Bombyx mori: one gene and its partners. The protein of the gene in region 2 binds, or shares a complex with, the protein of the main gene of each other region. Links are inferred from orthologs where the notes say so. Each region holds a gene or a part of one and is shown on either strand. Other genes may lie near its edges.

The links.
Region 1: condensin complex subunit 3 (region 2) and structural maintenance of chromosomes protein 2 share a complex: the UniProt entries of both Homo sapiens proteins name them as parts of the condensin complex. The link is inferred for Bombyx mori from reciprocal best matches to the Homo sapiens genes NCAPG and SMC2.
Region 3: the proteins of condensin complex subunit 3 (region 2) and condensin complex subunit 2 are in contact, whole or in part, in a crystal structure (PDB 6IGX), measured with the Homo sapiens proteins. The link is inferred for Bombyx mori from reciprocal best matches to the Homo sapiens genes NCAPG and NCAPH. Residues at the interface, in NP_071741.2 of Homo sapiens: Lys11, Phe14, Arg15, Gln18, His50, Tyr51, Lys53, Tyr54, Val55, Met56, Val57, Glu62, Ala64, Val65, Val68, Phe102, Ser106, Glu108, Ala109, Asn110, Ser111, Val114, Arg115, Ile149, Arg150, Lys152, Asp153, Lys154, Arg159, Glu188; in NP_056156.2 of Homo sapiens: Glu471, Ile472, Asp473, Phe474, Glu475, Asp476, Asp477, Ile478, Phe480, Val482, Tyr483, Phe484, Arg485, Lys486, Thr487, Ala489, Ala490, Thr491, Ile492, Leu493, Gln501, Asn502, Trp503, Ala505, Thr506, Thr507, Leu508, Phe512, Tyr514, Val516.
Region 4: condensin complex subunit 3 (region 2) and structural maintenance of chromosomes protein 4 share a complex: the UniProt entries of both Homo sapiens proteins name them as parts of the condensin complex. The link is inferred for Bombyx mori from reciprocal best matches to the Homo sapiens genes NCAPG and SMC4.

Annotation. Positions count from the first base shown.
Region 1 is NC_085131.1:14,293,708-14,299,702, forward strand, and holds the start of structural maintenance of chromosomes protein 2, read right to left. Parts: upstream 4,069-5,995; 5' UTR 3,927-4,068; coding exon 3,759-3,926; intron 3,368-3,758; coding exon 3,218-3,367; intron 2,815-3,217; coding exon 2,653-2,814; intron 1,082-2,652; coding exon 971-1,081; intron 684-970; coding exon 562-683; intron 246-561; coding exon 89-245; intron 1-88. UniProt on the Homo sapiens protein: Central component of the condensin complex, a complex required for conversion of interphase chromatin into mitotic-like condense chromosomes.
Region 2 is NC_085122.1:6,203,401-6,207,796, forward strand, and holds part of condensin complex subunit 3, read right to left. Parts: intron 3,780-4,396; coding exon 3,672-3,779; intron 2,707-3,671; coding exon 2,563-2,706; intron 2,198-2,562; coding exon 2,036-2,197; intron 1,459-2,035; coding exon 1,279-1,458; intron 890-1,278; coding exon 768-889; intron 1-767. UniProt on the Homo sapiens protein: Regulatory subunit of the condensin complex, a complex required for conversion of interphase chromatin into mitotic-like condense chromosomes.
Region 3 is NC_085117.1:9,011,300-9,015,754, forward strand, and holds the end of condensin complex subunit 2, read right to left. Parts: coding exon 4,273-4,455; intron 3,476-4,272; coding exon 3,304-3,475; intron 2,697-3,303; coding exon 2,586-2,696; intron 2,221-2,585; coding exon 1,918-2,220; 3' UTR 1,273-1,917; downstream 1-1,272. UniProt on the Homo sapiens protein: Regulatory subunit of the condensin complex, a complex required for conversion of interphase chromatin into mitotic-like condense chromosomes.
Region 4 is NC_085134.1:4,010,224-4,016,020, reverse strand, and holds the start of structural maintenance of chromosomes protein 4, read right to left. Parts: upstream 3,390-5,797; 5' UTR 3,174-3,389; coding exon 2,895-3,173; intron 2,093-2,894; coding exon 1,901-2,092; intron 1,371-1,900; coding exon 1,194-1,370; intron 295-1,193; coding exon 190-294; intron 1-189. UniProt on the Homo sapiens protein: Central component of the condensin complex, a complex required for conversion of interphase chromatin into mitotic-like condense chromosomes.

The DNA of each region.
Region 1 (5,995 bases), on a different chromosome or scaffold from region 2:
TCACACCGGACCGCATAGAATGCGACAAGAGCCCCGCTCTGGGGCTGGACTCACGGACGAAAAGCGACGACTTACTGCTGTCTCTTACCTCATCCAGTTTTTTGTTTAAGTCAACAACTTGCTTATCCAGCTCTTTCATTTCTTTCTCATTGTTTTTAATAGTCTCTTTTTTCAATTTAATGTCGTCCTGCACTTGCGTGACTTTTCCCTCTGCTGCTTTGGTTTGCTCTTCAGCAGAAACATACCTGTAACGGAGATATCGTTTTAACTTTCGTGACTATGATGTGCTAAAATATTGCCTTGTTCTATCATGTAAATAAGTGGTTTAGAAGGGGAAGGTAATAAACATACTATGGACACTTGTGCATGTATACTGTAGAGAGAGATGTTCAATAAAATTGTTTTCTTTTCTTAATGTATTTAAAACAGAAAGAAAGAAGTACTCAACATACTAAGAAGTACTCAACATACTGACATTTTTGTGTTACACTGAACAGGGAGGCACACGGGCGGCCGCGCAGTCCTGTGGCGACTAGGAACTTAGGCAATGACCATACTCACTTCCAAGCGACACACAGCCTGGTGATATTCTCCAATTCTCTGACAACCTTCTGATATTCTTGGAACTGAGATCTTTCATCTTGCAGCTTCTGAAGTTTAGGTGCTATGTCTTCTCTTATTATCTATTTTGAACAGAAACAATTTTGCCACAACAGTTCTTTTAATGTATTTTCTGAGAAGTTTTAGTTCAGTTCAAAAAAATTTACATCTGATTAATTGTGATCCCTTCTACAAAATCATTATTTTATTCAAAAAAGTATTGGCAGTTCTGAAAGTCCACCTAAGTAGTCCTAGAAATCTACTAATTTGATGAAGTGATAAAATAGTTTTATTTGTGTCATATTATGCTTTAAAACGAATCGACATTTGTACAGTGTGCAGTGACAGTAAAATTGTACAATTGACTTACATCATTAAGTTCCCGGAGCTTTGCATCTTTCTTCTCAATAGTTTTCTGTGCTGCTTGTTTTTTAGCTTCATACATTCTTGTACCTGCCGCTTCCTCTACCATTGATAATATCTAACAAAAAAGTGGTATTGTAGCTGTATATATTTTAGCCTTCAGTGCAATGTGGTTATTGGATGCCAATGCTAAACATGAATGTCTCTAGTGCCAATTTACCATGTTCATGTTCTTATGGCCTTTTTATTGTTTATTGTATTTTATAATTATTAGAAGAAATTTGTAATCATTAGATCAGCTAAATTAGTTACATTTCATTTATTCACAAGGATGTCAAACACAATTACAGCACAGGTTTTTTGCCTTTTTTTATTACTTAGATAGGTCATTGAGCTCACAGCCCATCTGACTTTAAGTGGATACGGGAGCCCCGCCACCCACCGTGGGAAAAGGCATCCAAGCCTCAGTGTGCAATTACTGCCCCACCCTTGAAAAACGAAACACATTACTGCTTCAAGGCAAAAATAGGCAGAGTGGTGATACATACCTATACGAGCTCATGGGATGTTGTACTGCCAGCTCAACTTCAGTTCTCAGGGAGAGTGGTAGCATCAACATTGTCTTGTGGATATAAAACTCTTGTGCTCACAGCTTTTTTTTTATCTTAGGGCCAACAATGGCTGGGCAGCAGCCACAGAGCAAGGTTAAATGGAAATCTTCCATATCAGAAGACAAGATCTCAAGTTTACTGATATTGTGGCTAGTAAGTGTTTGAGGGAAAACAATATAAGAAACATCTTCCACCAAGCAGATAATTTTGTTCCATACACCAAAAGTCCAAATATTGTTTGTAACTGGCTTAACACATGCAAAGCTTCTTTTGAAAATGCCATTAGTGTGATTTCAAAATTTGTCAAATATTTTCTGTCCTACGATGGCACGAATTGGGAAGCATAAGGATATTACACCACATTTATTACTAAGGCTGTATGTCTCTACCTATATTTTAATCATCACAAATAGCTCAAACATACAATACAACTAATGCCACACAGTACAGAGAAAGAAAAAAATCACAAAGCAATTAAGACCTTACTAGAAATTACAGTGCACACGCTTTTAGAAAGATTAAATTTCATTCAGAGGAGTGAGAAAAATCATACGACTTAAAGTGAAGTCATATCCAAGACAAGATTTGAATGCAATCTAATGCATCATAATAGTGAAATCAGTCACTATACTTATCAAAGTACTAATCAAAGTATTTTGTAATTAGACTTGATGATTTTGATTCATAATCTATATATGTTTTTGATTATCTATATATATAAAAATGAATTGCTGGTTGTTAGTCTCACTAAAACTCGAGAACGGCTGGACCGATTTGGCTAATTTTGGTTTTGAATTATTTGTGGAAGTCCAGAGAAGCTTTAAAAGGTAGATAAATATGAAAATTCTCGGAATTCAATAAGAATAACAATTTTGTTTTTCCTTTGATGTATCCCCCGTCGGACGGATTCCTTGTGTTTGTTTTAAGTTTATTTTATACAAAAGTTTAGGTCTTGGCACTGCGAAGTCTGCCTGGTCAGCTAGTAAGAAATAATTATTTTATCCAGAACTTCAGTTCGTAACACTATTTACTAAGGTCATACAAGTAATTTAACTGCTGAAGCTGATGTATGGCTTACCTCAGGAGGTTTCATATTTAGCACCTTAGTAATCCTTCCCTGCATGATGAGGAAGTGTGGGTTATTGACATTAAGCTGAACCGAACAGAATAAGTCACTGACCCTCTTGTTTTGGACATTGATACCATTTATAAGGTATTTATTCTTACCACCCATCACCACCTGAAATTTATTTTTCAAATTGTTTCAATAATTGTTAAATAGCATGTTCTTTATATTAGTTTGATTAAGCAAATTTGGATGAGGAAATATAACTTTTGAATGCTATACGTTATTTCTTGTTTTGTTCAGCAAAGCTTATGAAATTTAGCTTGGTTTGCTAATAGTAAAAGTCAAGCTACTTGATCGAATGATTTGTAAATGATGTATTAAATCATGTCATCTCAAACATTTGAATATTGATTTATTAATCATGTATATATTCTTGGAACTATTGTATTCTTGGAACTTTTTAATAAAGTAATTTAATGGAAGCTTCATGAACCTGGAAACTTAGCAAATGGTTATTCAATTTCTAGATGTTTTGTTGATTACTAATTACTATTCCAATATAACTATGTCTTACCTGTCTAGTGACAGTAATCTCATCATGATTCTCATAGCCAATCGGACATTGTCTCTTATCTCTGTTGTCGAAGGTAATGCTAACTGTTGCTTTGGTGATACCTGCCTGCCCATGCTTGTAAATAAGCTCCTGCAAGCTGCTTGCTCGTACCTATTTTTTTATAATAAATTAATTAATAATTTAGGCACAAATTTTGTTAAACAAGCATTTTGACCAAGAAGCAACTATGTTTTATTGTTGGAATATTCATATTATTTATAATTGTACCCAGAAAGAAGCAGAAAACATCATTGTCGAGTTTACTTCGCATCAATCGATATTATTGTTGTACTAGAACTTGAAAAGTGTATGTTTTTATTTTCAAGTCATCATGTATTCTGATGCCCATAGGATTTATGTCGCATATTTGATAGGTAATTGAATATTATCATGAATAAACGCTGCTACTATATCGCCATAACCCTTAACAGTGAATGGTATTTGGCGGGAAATAAATCAGCAACAGTTGTTATTTTGTTAGCAATAATAAACTACAACATACATTCGATAAATTTGTGATTCCAAGTACGAAACATATAGAATCTAAGATATTTGATTTTCCAGTCCCATTTAGACCAGTGATCGCATTAAATTCTGGATCAAATCCAGTAATTTCCACTCGGTTTCCGTAAGACTTGAAGCCATCTAACACTATTGACTTAATAAACATGTTCAGATCATAAAAACAACAGTTATAGAACAAGAAAATTCATTAAAAATTTAAACTCATACGAATTCATCAAGCGTTAGAGAAGCCGTTGATTTTTTTATGAAATCAAAATTGATTTGTGTTTTTAAAATATTTTTGACATTCATTGATTAATGACATTGACACATTATATTTTTCTCGACAACATTTTTTTTAAAGATTTTAATTCGATTTAGATTAACAATATGGTAAAGAGGTAAAAAATTATAAGTGTACCGATTCTTTTTCTTTTCTTTATTGCATACTAGCTGACCCGGAAGACTTCGTAGTGCCTCTATCAATAAATAAAAGACTTAAACCTTTGAAGAAAATAAATTTAAAACAAACAAAAGGAATCCGTCCGGCGCGCGGCGGGGGGGACATCAAAGGAAAAACAAAATTGTTATTTTTATTTAATTCCGAGCATTTTCATATTTATCTATCCTTTTAAACCTTCATTGGACTTCCACAAATAATTCAAGACCAAAATTAGCCAAATCGGTGCAGCCGTTCTCGAGTTTTAGCGAGACTAACGAACAGCAATTCATTTTTATATATATAGAAGAAGAAGATAGATAACATCTCAGATTCAAATGTAATAGATTCTGATTCGAACTAAAATAAATTGTAGTAAGTACAGAAAATGAAGTATTTTAACCATGTAGTGAAAGTTCATAAGCGCAAAAAAAATCATAGGCCGTGGCTTCGGCCGTGGACGTGGACTTGACAACTTCCAAAAAGTCTACAAACTCAGACATTAAATCTCACCCTTTTATAAGTTGTAGCCCAAAGAATAAAACGCCCGATGAACTAGTATCATTATAGCGTAATCGTATAGCATTAGAACTAATGTCCAACAAATCGAAAGCAGGGCGGATGGATCTACTAGGACTTGTCGATGTAAATGACAGTGGCTGATTTTTGCACGAGCGTGAGCTAGAATGTAGTCAATAGTGTCTTTAATAAAGCTGTTATCATATAGCATCGATATCAAGAAATAGTGCTTCTATATCTCAAACAGAATAAGATACCCAGCGAGGATGAACTCTTCTCCGATGGCAGGCGGTGCGATGGTAAAAGTGAGATGATGGAATCATCTCAAAGAATTCCTCATAGCACTCCCCATGGAACATACGGTACAAAATACAGAGAAAAGCGAAGTCCTTCCGCAGACCCAGAGGTTCCAAATGATCCGTGAGATCCGGGATTATCGACAATCCGAGCGGCCCTTTTCTATATAGAGTGAAATCGAAGTAGCTCGTATTTGGTAACCCTAGCCCAGAGATGAAAAGGCTTTGTCCAGGCGTGAAGTACTGCTTTGCTCTGTTGAGGACTTCCAGCATCTTGGACGCCAACTTGGCTTTGCCTTCCAAATGACTCCAAAATTGGACAGACCCCAAGTATCCAGGTATTCTCGGAAGGTTGCAGGGATACTCCTTGGATTTGGCGCCATAACAAAGGGGTCCTTCTTCGTAGTTAACGCGCAAACTTATGTCTTCAATGGATTGAATTGAGCGAAGTTCAATTCGCCCCATTCGGAGATTAGCTTCGGAGAGTTCTCCACTTCAGACACAAGTTTTGATCGTCTCTCTTGCACCACGCTCCGTGAGAGACTCTGATGGCCGATATATCGCGCATCCCCCTTACTGTCATCCGCATAGCAATGCATATCATCAATAGACATCATGTCATTGACATTGATATACAGGATGAAAATCATATACTTCAGGAGTTGTGCATTTTTTATTCGCTCCATCACCTTGGAAAGTAAGGAACTTATCGCGGTAGGCCTATAGCTCGATGGCTCCGACCAGTCGCCCTTCTTGGGGATAGGGTGGACGTGAAGGGGTCTTCCATGAAGACGGATACAATAAGAGAGGCGATACAAATGCGTTAGCGCAGGTGTCAACTCAGGGGCGCACGTTTTCAGAACCACTGCGAGGATGCAGTCTGGCCCACTCGACTTATAGACGTCCAGGAGTCGGAGCTCCCGCCTGACTGCATACTGTGTGAAGCAGATCTCCGGCAGGGAGCTATCACACCGGAGGATG
Region 2 (4,396 bases):
AAGTTCTTCTCTTTGTCATTACGTTCGTTCACTGTCACCCACAGGGTGCGCCCAGACTGGTACGCACATGACCAGCCTCGAATATAGATTGAATTATTACGCAGCTCTGTGTGTTGTGGTAATGTTTTTTTTTGACTGAATTATGTTCGACTATTAACAATCTCTTTATTCGCGCAGTCATCTATACGAAGTTCAGACCGGTCAAGTAAGATGCTAGTTCTAATATTATCTTTCGAGACATTGTTCGATTTTTGAATACAAACTACGACATCTTAAAACAAATGTTGTACACTCGAAATTTAATATTCATAGTTTCGTTAAAGCAAGCCATACACTTGCGAGCGATCATGTTAGCATTCTCAGACAGCGCCCTCTGGTGCCCACCTTCTAGTAACATGTCGCCAGCTTTATTAATTGTTCCATTTAAAAAAAAAATTGAAAAAATTTAATATTCAACTAAAAAATTGATAATAAATTTTAATAAATTTGTTTTAAAAATAGTGTAAGAAAAAAAAAGTCTATTTTCTATAAACTTTCTATAAAAGCGTATTTTGTTAGTTTTTTCAAAGTATTATTTATTTTTCATTTTTTAGTTGAATTTGAATTTTTTTTAATTTTTTTTAAATATTGAAATGTCATCGGTCCTTAATAAGTATACCAAATTTCGAGTTAATCCGACGTTTTGAAGGGGGTCAAAATCACGTTCAAAGATTCCGTTACATACATACGTCTGAAGCTAATAAAAGCGTATTAAAAAGTCTTCTGACCATTTCCTTGTCGTAAACAATAGTGTGGAGTGTGGTATCGTCGAACGAGTCTTGGAGAGAGTCACGCGAGCTGCTCGCCGTACTACTGCGCCCCGACGAACGTGTTCCTGTTCTGACTTCTCCTGGAAAATATTTAAAGTTTTTTTTAAATTATGAAGTGACATATTAATTAAAAAAAAATATTGTTCATTAGTTAGTTCATTAGAGTTTATACAGATAATAAATGCTTAAATTTTTTGATAGTAATATAGATTAAGTTTATATTACATTATATTTGTTAATAATAAAAAACATAATATTATTATAACTTAAAAAATAATAATATTACAATTCCTTCACTAATTAATCGAAAGGAACTTCATTCCCGTGTCCTTTGACACCTCTCAATTTTTGTTGTTGCCTTGTTTGCAGACGGTCATACGGTGAGTACACTACCTGATGGTGAGTGGTTACTGTCGCTCATGGTCATCGATAATGCAGGGGGACAGTCGATTTATTTATTGAATTGTACCTTTTTTATTTTTTCGTTGAGTCCCATTCGATACGGTCGACTCGCGGCTGGAGGAGGAGTGCGCGGCGCGGGCGGAGCGCCGCACAGTCACGTTCGACACGTCCAGCTCAGCGGGCACGCTCGGCGGCGGAGAGGCCATCTTTGTTTTAGACTCTTTGTTTTTTTGAGCTTTGGATGAAACTGAAAATTTTTCGGTTAATGTGATTGTTTAATTTAAACTACTAAATACTAATAAATAAAAAGTTGACGGCAATTTACAGGCTATTTATCTGGCTTCAAACTAGGATTCCCGATACCATTGTTTTTCTTTTTTCTCCTTGAGAGGCTATTTCACCTTCGCCCTAACGTGTGTAGGTGAGCTCACGGGGCTCAAACCGGGAGTGTTGCTAACACTGGCTCTAGCAACAACAGTGCTTCGCAGAATCTACCACCGGATAGGAAAAGCGACCCACTGAGAAGATCCGGCGAGGAACTCTGCGGGCTGTGTCTATGGGCTAAATTAGTCTTCGAGCCCTTCGTCGCAAGCGACGGGTTCGCCTAGGACGGTGACCGGTGCTTGAGGTACCTATAAGCACCGTTAATGGATCGGGAGGATGCGTAATAATGCGTAATAAATCAATCAGGATACTTATAAAATCAATCCTCGGTCAGGCGCGCTAACTATTTCACTAGCGAGACCGCCAAACAGTAGTGTTTGCAACATAATCAGATGCGTGAATGGATAAAACACAAGCATATTTCGGTAACGGTATCTCACCTCTATCGACGTCCACCAGGGATCGCTGCGATCGACTTCGTTTGACACCCTTTTCAGTTTCTTCAGTTTTCTGTTTCGACTTTTTAGTGGTTTCTGTGACTTTCGCTTTATTGGCCGTTTCAATGGTAGACGATTTCTTCGCCGGCATCTTCTTTTTTGGTACTGTAAAACGTTTATTTGCATTTAATTTGATTTATACTTTACGAAAATGTTACAAAAGGCAAATACATATATGTATAAATGTATAATCATTGTAAACATTTTTTTTATGTCGGTCTGAAAACATTCTTAAATATACAGATAATTTTACTGTTTTATAAGGCGCTTGAGAGATTTATTGACCAATAGGCAATTGGAATAAAAGAAGGCAACACCAATATTAGACATTTTGTATTTACTATAAAATGGGCCATATGCTTCATAATGGCAGTTCAAAATAATTAATCAGCATATAATTTTCAGAAGTACTATTACTTTATACTAGATATTTAATTAACGAAATAAGAATATTAATTATAAATAAACACCTTTTGATATTTTAGCTTTCTTCACCGGAGATACTCCGCTGCTAGAATCCGACAATATATCTTTGGTATCTCGTATTGGAACAGATTCTGATTCGGTAGACTGTCTACTAGACTTTGTATTACTCTCTTCGGTTTGTGATTTTTCTGTAAACAATTTAGGTATAGAGTATGGTATGCTATACATCGACGAATATATTTAAATAATAACTATAATTTAGTCGAGTTAAGGCGGGACTACATAATACGCGACAAGATCCATTCATAAATTAAAGTGGTTATTCGTAAATCGTCAAACATAGAGTTTGCTTTTTAATTCAAAGGGAACTATAGAAAATCACTATCGTGAATATATACTATTAAAAAATACGATATAAATCTAATAAATGTAAATTTTTTTATTACAAAGCATCGTACGTTATACGGGATTCTATAAATCACTTTGTAAAAAAAAAAAAAAAAAATTTACACTGGATTTAATTAAAACTTATTCAATAATAATGAAATATAAAAGATTTAGTATTGTATGGATACAGTGATAGGCGCGAACGCGACGAAGGATGGAGACGAACTGATTGAGTGGAGCGGGAATGGCAATGAGGTATGGTGTAGATAAAGATATGATAAAGCTGATGCAGCAGGAATACGATAGGGTCTGCATATCTACGGTACTGAAGCCCAGATAGGACTTTTTGGCGGGAACGCGAGGAGTGAAATTGTGTGATTTGTTTTATTTTGTCTATTTAGTGTTTCTTCAGGTTTAAATGTGTAATGACGGTGGTTTACTGTTTAATATCTGTGAAAGTGCACAAAAGTGGGAAAATTAAACAAAGCCGCTGGACGTAACTTCTCGGGATCCTCCAAAAAGTCCACTGAAAAAATATCAGTAAATTGCCACCATTTTACCGAGATTATATTTCATCCCATATCATCTCATCTCATTTCATTTGATTTCATCCCAGTTGATTAATATCTCAAATTAATCATCTTCATTTCATTTCATCATTTTTCATAAAAATAATAATATAAATTAAAATAAGATATGACTTAAAGGTCTTAGTTACCAGGTCATAAAATTTCTTAAAAAAAAAGAAGCCGGTAACAGTACGCACCTTCTGGTATCTTACAGAAGATTTCAGTTGGAGACGTCTCATCGATTTCGTCTTCTTCCTCGACGGTTTCGTTGACGACCACGTGCGTACTGCGCGCTATCGGTTGTGCTGAAAGGTATTTTGTTTAAGGTAATTATTTATTTACAATTATTCGCAATTAATGATCGACACTGAAGCGCGATGTTGCTATGTTTACGTTAAGGCGTAAAGACCGCCCAGTACTTAACTATTAATATTTTTGCTGATCCTTCCGATAGTGTTCGACATTAGTTTTTTTTTAAATTTCTTTATCTATTAAGAACTTTTTGTTTTTTATGTTTTCGCATTTGAAACATAATACGCAGATAATTATTTAAAATAAAAGTGCCACATTAAATTAACAATTAAATAATAAATCGTAGTACCGATGTGGATGGATACTTGTGAATGTGCTAATAATAAATAGCCTTATCTACCCTATCGCTGTATTCAAATTGAACCACTATTTTCAGACAATATTAGACGAATAATACAAAGAAAAAAACTGAATTGAACAAAGTAAAAAAGAATATCATCATCTACAGTGTAATTAATGTAGAAATCAATTTAATATGGTCTATCAAAGATAACTCAAAAACGACTGCTCAGATCTAGATAAAATTTAAATAGGACCACATGAGAAGCGGCAGCTTTCACATAGAAAAAGAATAATCCAAAACGATTCACTCAAAAGCTGTGGGGCAACA
Region 3 (4,455 bases), on a different chromosome or scaffold from region 2:
GCGGTGGTACCTACCCGTGCGAACTCACAAGAAGTCCTACCACCAGTCGTGAGCTCGTCCATCAACCTAAACAATAAAAAAACAAATTGTTGTAATTACTGGTCGTGGTGCGTCTTGCGAGGCAGTTATGTACCACCAGCCATTCTATTCCTGATGTGAAGCAGTAATGGATTCCAGTTTGTAGAGTGGGACAGCCGTTTTAGTATACAATTGAGATTTAGACCTCATGTCTCACGTAGTGATGTCTATGGGCTCCGGTAATCGTGTAACACCCGGTGGGCCGTGAGTTCATTCACCCGTCCATGCATGCAATAAAAAAATCAAATTACATGTATGGCTTGTAACAGTGCCACATCCGATTAATTTTATTTTCGTTGTTTCGATGCGCGAATGTCTTGCACAGTCGCCATTTAAATCTAAAAAGTAAATAATACTACTAGGCTAGACGAAGGAGTATCCCTGCAACCTTTTACTTGTATTGGGATACTTGGGGTCGACATTTTGAGCGATGTCCAATTTCGAAGTTATTTGGACGGCAAAGCCAAGCTGGCGTACAAAATGCTAGGCGTCCTGAACAGAGCGAAACGGTACTTCGCGCCTAGAGAAAGGCTTTTGCTTTATAAAGCAAAAGTCTGGCCTCGCGTGAAGTACTGCTCCCACCTCTGGGCCGGATCTTCCAAATACCAGCTACTTCTATTTGACTCTATAGAGAAGAGGGCTGTTCGGATTGTCGATAATCCCGATCTCACGGATCGTTTGAAACCTCTGATTCTGCAGAGGGACTTCGGTTCTCGCTGTATTTTGTACCATATGTTTCATGGAGTGGTCTGAGGAATTGGTTGAAATGGTCCCATCAATTCGTTTTTACCATCGCACCGCCCGCTACCGGAGTAGAGTTCATCCATACTACCTGGAGCCACTGCGTTCATACACAGTGCGTTTCCAGAGATTTTGCCACGTACCATCCGACTTTGGAATGAGCTCCCCTCCACGATGTTTCCCGAGCGCTATGACATTCTTCAAACGAGGCTTGTGGAGCGTACTTAACAGTAAGCAGCGCCTTGGCTCTACCCTTGGCGTTGCTGAAGTCCATGGGCGACGGTAACCACTCACCATCAGGTGGGCCATGTGGCTGTCTGGCTACACGGGCAATAAAAAAAATTAAGGATGTTTCTTATCCATCTACCTTTTTTGCTGTTGATGTATAGATTACCTCACTGCTCTTTTGATAGTAAATAATAAAAGCCAGGGAATATAAAATAAAAAACGAGCTTGGTACTTGCATACATATCTAAATATTATTCAATACTTAAATATAAAAATAAAGTCTATTCTAAAAACATCTATACAATGTTTTCACAAACTTTTTCATATATTTTGACACATGTCAAAACTTTATTTACAAGATTCAATATTTAATTACGGTACATACATCCATTGCATTTCTAATTGTGAAACGTTGATAATAGCACATTATTTAATCATCTGTAGGATAGTAAGGAAATGCGACCCTAGAAACTAATGTAATTAACTGGAATAGTGTTGCTGCAAGAAACTGACATTTATTACAATAACATTTTTTTTTACTTTCAATACACAACTTTGACATAAGGTAAGCTCTCAGATGACGCATCAAATTTATTGAATTATGTATGGATGTTGTCAAAGACAATTCGTTTTGTAGTTCAGGTAATAATGGCTTTTAGGTATTTCTTTTCTTTCAATAAATTCACTAAAAAATTAATGTAAATAACAATCAAAATTTGTGACTAACTAATATTTTATGGTCATATTTGAGATACTAAACACTAGAGTATTCAAAACACAAGTTTCGCTACAAGCCATGCTTTCAGTGGAGGTAGTGAGGAATATGCTTAAATTTATATGTATTTTAGAACCTCACCTCAAGTTGTTTTATTATTTTATCAAACCTATTATGCCAAAGTCCTTAAGGTCTTCTTGTTTCTCTAAAATCAATCCTTTTTCGTTTGCTAAATGCAAAATTGAGAGTAAAGCTAATGGTACACTTAATGATTCTCTCATATTCGGCGTCAGTTTGCTCGGAAGTCTGGAATAAATCGAAAAGAATGACGTTTCCGTGACCTCGTCTTTGGAACCTTCTGGAGTTTTTTCAGTGAGCATCTTCCAGGTACAGTTTTTCAATTGTTTCATGTCGACCTTTTTCGCCCGCATCGCGTATGGTATGAATATTTTGGCCACCTGTTGGAATACGGATGCGGAACATTATATGTTTCGTTGTAATTCTGTGTTAGTGTATTGTTGTTAGTGCAGTTGGAACAGCGCCCCTAGCGGCAAACGTTCCAACTCCATACAAATTTGAGATAACTTTCACGCTATCGAGAACATTAAAAAACTCGCACGAAGCACACAAGAGAAGAATAGAATAATTATATATATTTATCCTTGGGTATGAGTAAATCTAAAACGACATCAAGACGAAACTATTTTTTTTTGTTACAAATATTCTTAACACATACAAGACTTCTAACTCATATCCAACTGGGAATGAAACCTGTACACTGTCGTAGATCAATCGGGATCAATAATGTGACGATCGAACTTACTTTTGTTGGTGGTTCGAGCATGTCCCCGATGTCTTCGAGTTCTACGGCTTTGACTTGTTCGTGCAGGTCGCCGGCGGCCGTGGCGTCCTCGTTGCCCCACTCGTCAGCATCCTACCAAAAACAACAACTTAAGTTATGTTTGTGATATTGCTTTTTTTTTTATTGCTCTATAGATGTGTGGACGAGCTCCCAGCCCACCTGGTGTTAAGTGGTTACTGGAGCCCATAGACATCTACAGCGTAAATGCGCCACACACCTTGAGATATAAGTTCTAAGATCTCAGTATAGTTACAACGGCTGCCCCACCCTTCAAACCGAAACGCATTATTGCTCCACGGCAGAAATAGGCGGGGCGGTGGTACCTACCCGTGCGGACTCACAAGAGGTCCTACCACCAGTAAAAATTAGCTTTTCAAATATTACTTTTTTAACGACAGAATACGGTAGTATGTTTGATTATTTTTAAAACTGATTAGATTAGGTAAACAATATTAACAAGTACAACTAACAATCTTAACGAATACAAATTTTATACATACAATAAAATATCAATAATAGATGTCATTAGATTTATCGGTCAAATTGTTTAATATGAGTATCGCACGACCTCAACCAGTTGATTATTATTGTAATTAGTTGAGAAAAACAGCATCAACTGCGAGTTTCTAACATCACTGACTGGGAGAATATAGGATTGTAGAATTGTGAATGTACTCACCGGCGGTATGTTGGGACAATATGAGGCATCATTTTCATTATTGTAATCGTAGTCGCGCACCTCCTCGACCGTGACGGGCTCCTCGGGCTTGCTGTGTTCGTTGTCACGTTTCCGCGACATCGTCACTTTACGCAGTAAAAATAATTTGCAGAAGTGCGATTCGTCCAGACCTCTGCGCAAAGAATGGATTAAATAGAACTCGAAACTATCTTAGGTGCTGCTGACCTGTGTGCTTAGTGCGAGTTTTTTAATGTCCTCGATAGCGTAAAAGTTAACTCAAAGTTGTATGCAGCGCCCTTAGCGCCAAACGTAGGGAAACGTTCCAACTCCATACAAATTTTTGTAATTGGTCCTACGAAATTACTAACTTCTGATTTCGACAGAAGAGTAAACATGTTGTGGGGACCACATCTAAGGGGTAAAGACAAGAAGGAACATATAATAAAAAAAATGTGTGCGTGTACTAGTGTACACACGTAAGAAGTGAAACTTCTTTATGGCCTTATTTTTCGAAAAATGATCTACATGCAACTTTCTAGAAATTGGTTAAATAAAGTTAAATTAGATAAAGTTTAAACAAAAGGATTTTATTATCATAGACATGAATACAAAAAAGTTAAATTAGATAAAGTTTAAACAAGAGGATTTTATTATCATAGACATGAATACAAAAAAGATGGCGCGTAACGGAAAAATGTGACGCGTAACCGAAAAATGTGACGGTAAATTTTTTTCCAACGCCGATAAGGAAGTTTCACTTCAAAAGGGAAAATATTACAGTTTGATATTATCATTAAAGAATTTCCAACATTTCGAAAACTTGAGTTTTCATGGTTACCGACGAATTCGTCATTAGTTTAGAATTGCATTTAAGTTTAATAACTTTTTTTATATATATATATTTAAGATTTTTTTGTACATAGAAAGTACTAATAGTATCCTGAAGCCTGACAATAAAAAACACTCTACCTATCAATAGGAGTTTTAAAGTTGGTCTCGTTCCACGTGTGTCCCGTGGCGAGCGTCTTCCTGCTGATCATGATCTTGGCCGGCTGGATGGGCTCGTAGTCCCCGACGGGCGCGGACCGGCAGTCGAACGTGAGTCCCGCGCCTTCGAAGTCTAACTGCCGCTTCGTCCGCGCCGGCTTCTTG
Region 4 (5,797 bases), on a different chromosome or scaffold from region 2:
TTTTATGTTGTTTCCTGAGTACTACATTTTACATACTGACATGCTTCTTTAAACATGTTTATTGATTAATAGTAATAGTGCCTACGCTCTGGACCAACAAGAAACTGAATTTAGATTCAATAATATTGATGATAATTATTAATTTAACAAGAGATTTAGCTTTCGAATACTCTACTAATAAGATGATACCTTATATCTTGAAGTGCCTATGATATCTTCCAAGTACTCCAGCATTCCTGACTCATGCTCTGTTAGTGCTTTAGGTTTCATCATAGCTATCTGTTCGACTTCACCCTGAAAGTAAAAGTCTAGTTAGGAATGTATTTGAAAGCATCCTTATGAAGTTCTATTTAGTTATTAAAGATGTCTTAATGTGCAGCTTGTGGGCTGGATATACTCAAAGATCGTACAACGCTCTCCGTGTTCAATATAATAACGCGTTTAGGGTGCTGGTGGTGCTGCCCCGCTTTTGTAGCGCATCAGGGATGTTTGCAGACGCGCACATAGATTGTTTTTACGCTACCATGCGTAAGAGGTGTGCATCTCTGGTAAGCAGAGTGAGGGCCAGCTCCAACAGTATCCTGAGCATGATCGCAAGCAGGCTGGACTGTGTATACATGGGTCGCTGTGGTGCCATCTCCCATGGGATGTTACGACAGTAATTCATTATGATGTAAATATAACTACTAACATAGGTCTAAGTCTTATTAAAAATTTATATGAGTCATGGTTACTTGCAATAAAAACAATATTATTATATTATTATTAATGTTGAACCATTAAAATTTTTCTATAAAAATGCTGATAAAGATTTCAAGTTGTAAGAGGGCATATACCTGTATACCCTGATCAGTGGAGAAATTGAGGCAATGATTTTGTATCTCAAAAGTCAACATAATCTCAATAACAAAACAATCTAACAAGCAATTGAATGGGATCTGTTGATTAAGATTACCACTCAAACACAATATCAATAATTTAGATGGTTTTTTTAATAGTACATAATCTATGATTTGCATTTAGTGTCTTTTGACCACATATAAAGTTGGATTCAAATAAGATTGACATGATGCCCTTTTGTATTGAAATTATGGTACGGTTACTCTTTAACTAATATACAAGATCGATTCGTGGGACCATATACTAAACACAGGCAAATAACACTTATTATACTACTTAAAAAATGTACTTGCTTGCAATATCAAGAATCTATTGTGATCCAAATCAATGTTGTGGGAACGCAGCATCTTGGCAACTTCTTTGAATTGTACTCTGCGTCCGTTCAACATATAATAAGACGAGTTATCTTTGAAAGCTGTCCGTGAGACCACAATCTCACTGTTTGGTACAACTTTAAAGTCATCTCCTTCCTGTAAAAGAGTGTTTGATATTTTAGTTAGAAAGCCAGTTGCCAGTTCTTGTGATTTTTTTGTGAATAAGTATTTTGTTCCTAATGTTTGTATTATACAGCGCAAAAAAATCCACTTATGCATTCAGTAGATACACTTAAATACGGTACAACAATACATGTAGTAGGTGCCATTACTGGTTGTGAGTTTTTAAACATAGTTATATATATTCAATGATAGGATTACAGAATATCAGGCACAATAACTTGGCACACTGAGATTCACAGTTAGAAGTCAACATCCTTGAGTGGCTGATTCTTTTTCTATAATAGTGGTCAAAAGAATGAGAAGTATTTCATTGGATACAAAAAAGTAACTCTCTCATGTTTCAGAGCTCACCATTTTCATTTATATTATATAGTTCAGTGGCTAGTTTTTTTTAATGTATAAATTCATTCATTTTTAGTTATACCAGAACTTTAAGATTTCTATTATTATTTATATTTTGTAACTTCAGCTCACGCCAAGTTTGGTGTGTACATAATACATACCCCATCAATAATCTGACAGAAATGTACAGAGACATTTGCACTACTAATATTAGGAAATTTACTGGATGAATGTATCAATACTGAAATCTTCTTAGAACGTATTTTTGATGCTCTATATCCAAATACAAACAGCATTGAGTCAATCACATTGCTTTTTCCACTACCATTCGGACCAATGATTGATGTAAAACACTGTAATAAAATGTTAATACTTATTAGATCTGCAAGGTTTATATACACATAAGCTCAATGTAGGTTTCCATTGTATATATTTAAGGCAAAATAATGCAAATAGAAGTAAAGAGTATTGTATAAGCATGTAATTAATTGTTGAGAAAGATAAAGAGCTCGTCTTACAATTCTGTTCACACCAGTACTCAAATTTGGAAATCAAGGAAATGCTGTGTAAAAGTAATAAAAATAGGCAAGTCAGTAGATACCTAGATACTAATAAACTACTATTGCAAAGATCTATTCAACACATTGTGTAGGCAATGCTTACTAATGCATCCTTACTAGGTAGCATACAGAAATTTAGAATGCTTTTGAACAGTTGCTACATGTGAAAATATCATTTATATAATAAGCAGCAGAAGGTAATCCATAAGTGTAATTAAAACTATTTTTATAGTATGGCCATGGACCAATAAACCACAAAATTCAAGCATTCCAAGCATAAAATAATTTTATATTTGGAATCACTTAGATTGGAGAGCACTAGACGATTTATAAATGCATTTAAAGGTGAGAATAAAATGAAGCATGTTCGTAACAATCTATTATTTGATTCTTAACAATACATGCAAATACATTAACAAAACTTAATCTAATAGGATATTGAATCTAATATCTAATGAAAAATATCTAATATAATAAAATATATAATAAATATACCTATATGTAATGAAAAATTGTTTTTGAAATATAATAAAAAAAAATTAATCTAAAGTTAAATTACCTACTAAAAATTCGTATAGATATTGGGTATTTTTACCTTATGAAATGGACCCAAAGCTTGTACGCCAGCGTAACTCTTGAAATTTTCATTAACGATATGAGTAATGATGAGCCGAGGGCCCGTTGTATCAAAAGTTAATGCTGGTTTTGGAGCTGGAGGTATATAGATATCCCCAATGCGTATTCCACCTTCCTCATCATCAGAAATGTGATCGAAGTCTTCAGTTTCCTCAACATTCGCTTTCTGAATTGCAGAACTAGTAGACGGACCCTCGTCGACATCCATTGGTTCATCTATCATTTTCGTTTTCCCCATCTTATTTATTTTTGTGAAGACAAAAAAGATATGTATCTTCACTAAAAGTTTTATTGCAATCTAAATTTTATTTAGATTCACCAGACCACGGTATAACTTTCCATCATTTTGTGCTTTTTTAAATGTTTTCTTGCAAGCTATAATTTTAAATATTGTACAAGTTACAACGACAATCATAGATTCTATTATCATAGATTATACACTTAGGCTTCAATCTCAAATATTAAGTATCATCATCTATGTATCAAATACTCGTGTGTACTAGTTATTAATCTATGCAAAAAACCTATATAAACAATCGAACTAAATGTAGACAACTATGCCACTTCGATAAAGCGGCACGACACGAGAACCCTCTGATCGTGGCCGCCGGTAACTACATTCCCGATCCTGCGGACAGAATGGAAAGCAGTCGACGTCGCCCAAAACACGTCATCTCGGATCCTCCTGATCCACTAACGGTGCTTTTAGGTACTTCAAGCACCGGTCACCGTTCTCGTCGAACCCGTAGCTTGCGACGAAGGGCTCGACGAGTAAATTAACTCTCAGACACAGCCCACTGAGTTTCTCGCCGGATCTTCTCAGTGGGTCGCGTTTCCGATCCGGTGGTAGATTCTGCGAAGCACGGCTCTTGCTAGGGTTCGTGTTAGCAACATCGTCAGGTTTGAGCCCCGTGAGCTCACCTACTAAAGTTAGGGTTACGCTGACATAGCCGCTAGGGCTATCAGCTTAGGTAGGAAAAAAAAAAAAAAAAAGTAGACAATGCAGCCCACTGAGTTTCTCGCCGGATCTTCTCAGTGGGTTGCGTTTCCGATCCGGTGGTAGATTCTGCGAAGCATGGCTCTTGCTAGGGTTCGTGTAAGCAACGTCGTCAGGTTTGTGCCCCATGAGCTCACCTTCTAGTTAAGGTTACGCTGGAATAGCCTCTCAAGGCTATCAGCTTAGGTAGAAAAAAAAAAGTAGACAATAAAATAGGCTCACTGAAATTGGCCTCCTTTTTTTGATTTTCGGTTTTATTTTTATTTTTAATGATTTGTTCGTCGTTTGTTCGTTAATGTTTGAATGTAAAAATTGTTAGTTCGTCTTTTATTTATTTATAATTGAGTAAACAAATGATTACCCTTAAGTTGGCTCCCCTTACTAGAAGATATCTTTATTTTTATCGCTCAGATCAATTAATTTTAATCAATTATCGTTAGTTCAACGAATATTGGTGATTGTTCGATCTTAAAAACAATTGAATTCCTAATTATTAATTATTTTATATCTAATAAGCAAACCATCACCTCACGCCTACATTGCGCATGCGCCGGTTTTGTCAGTCAGTTGGCAATGGGCGTATTTTCTAGCGTTTTGTTAACAAGTGCGTTTATACTGTCTAATTATTCCTTATGCAGACCAAAAAAATATTCAAAACTTCAACAAAAAATATCGGGGATTTTTTTTTTTTTATTGCTTAGATGTGTGGACGAGCTCACAGCCCACCTGGTGTTAAATGGTTACTGGAGCCCATAGACATCTACAATGTAAATGCGCCACACACCTTGAAAAATACGGCCAATTATTCCTTTTTTTTTTCCTACTTAAGCTGATAGCCCTAGGGGCTATTTCAGCGTAACCCTAACTTTAGTAGGTGAGCTCACGGGGCTCAAACCTGATGACGTTGCTAACACGAACCCTAGCAAGGGCCGTGCTTCGCAGAATCTACCACCGGATCGGAAACGCGACCCACTGAGAAGATCCGGCGAGAAACTCAGTGGGCTCTGTCTGAGAGTTAATTTACTCGTCGAGCCCTTCGTCGCAAGCGACGGGTTCGACGAGAACGGTGACCGGTGCTTGAAGTACGTAAAAGCACCGTTAGTGGATCGGGAGGATCCGAGATGACGTGTTTTGGGCGACGTCGACTGCTTTCCATTCTGTCCGCAGGATCGGGAATGTAATTATTCCTAAATTCATTACGTAGTTCAAAAAATGAAAATTTAATGCACACAAAATCTGTTTTTATTGAAATGATAATTATTTAGAAGTTCAAGAAATATATTGCAGGAACATTTAGTAGAAATTCATTTCATATGGAAGAATAAACTTAGTATACATATACCCTATAAACAGGATTTTATTTTAAAAAATATTTTATTTATAAAAAATATTTATTTACGTCTATATTATCGTAATTATTACTATCGAGAAGTATCTTGATTGATATATATTACAAGGCTTAATAATTGGGAATGTAATTATTTGAAATTTTATGATCGAACAATCACCAATAGTCGTCAAACAAACGATAATTGATCAAAATTAATTAATCTCAACGTTAAAAATAAAAATATCTAGTAAGGGGGTCCTACTTAAAGGTGATCATTTGTTTAATTAATTATTAATAAACAACAGACGAACAAACAATTTTTACATTTGAGCATTAACGAACAAACGACGAACAAATAATTAAAAATAAAAAAAATCCGAAAATAAAAGAAAGGGGCCAAATTCAGTGAGCCAATAAAATATTAGTTTATTATAGCAAAATATAAAAAAAAAAGTAAAACTTAATAAGAATTAAAATATTTTCAAATAATTATTTCTATGACTAGAAAATGCCCTGTGTCATATTCGATAGTCAA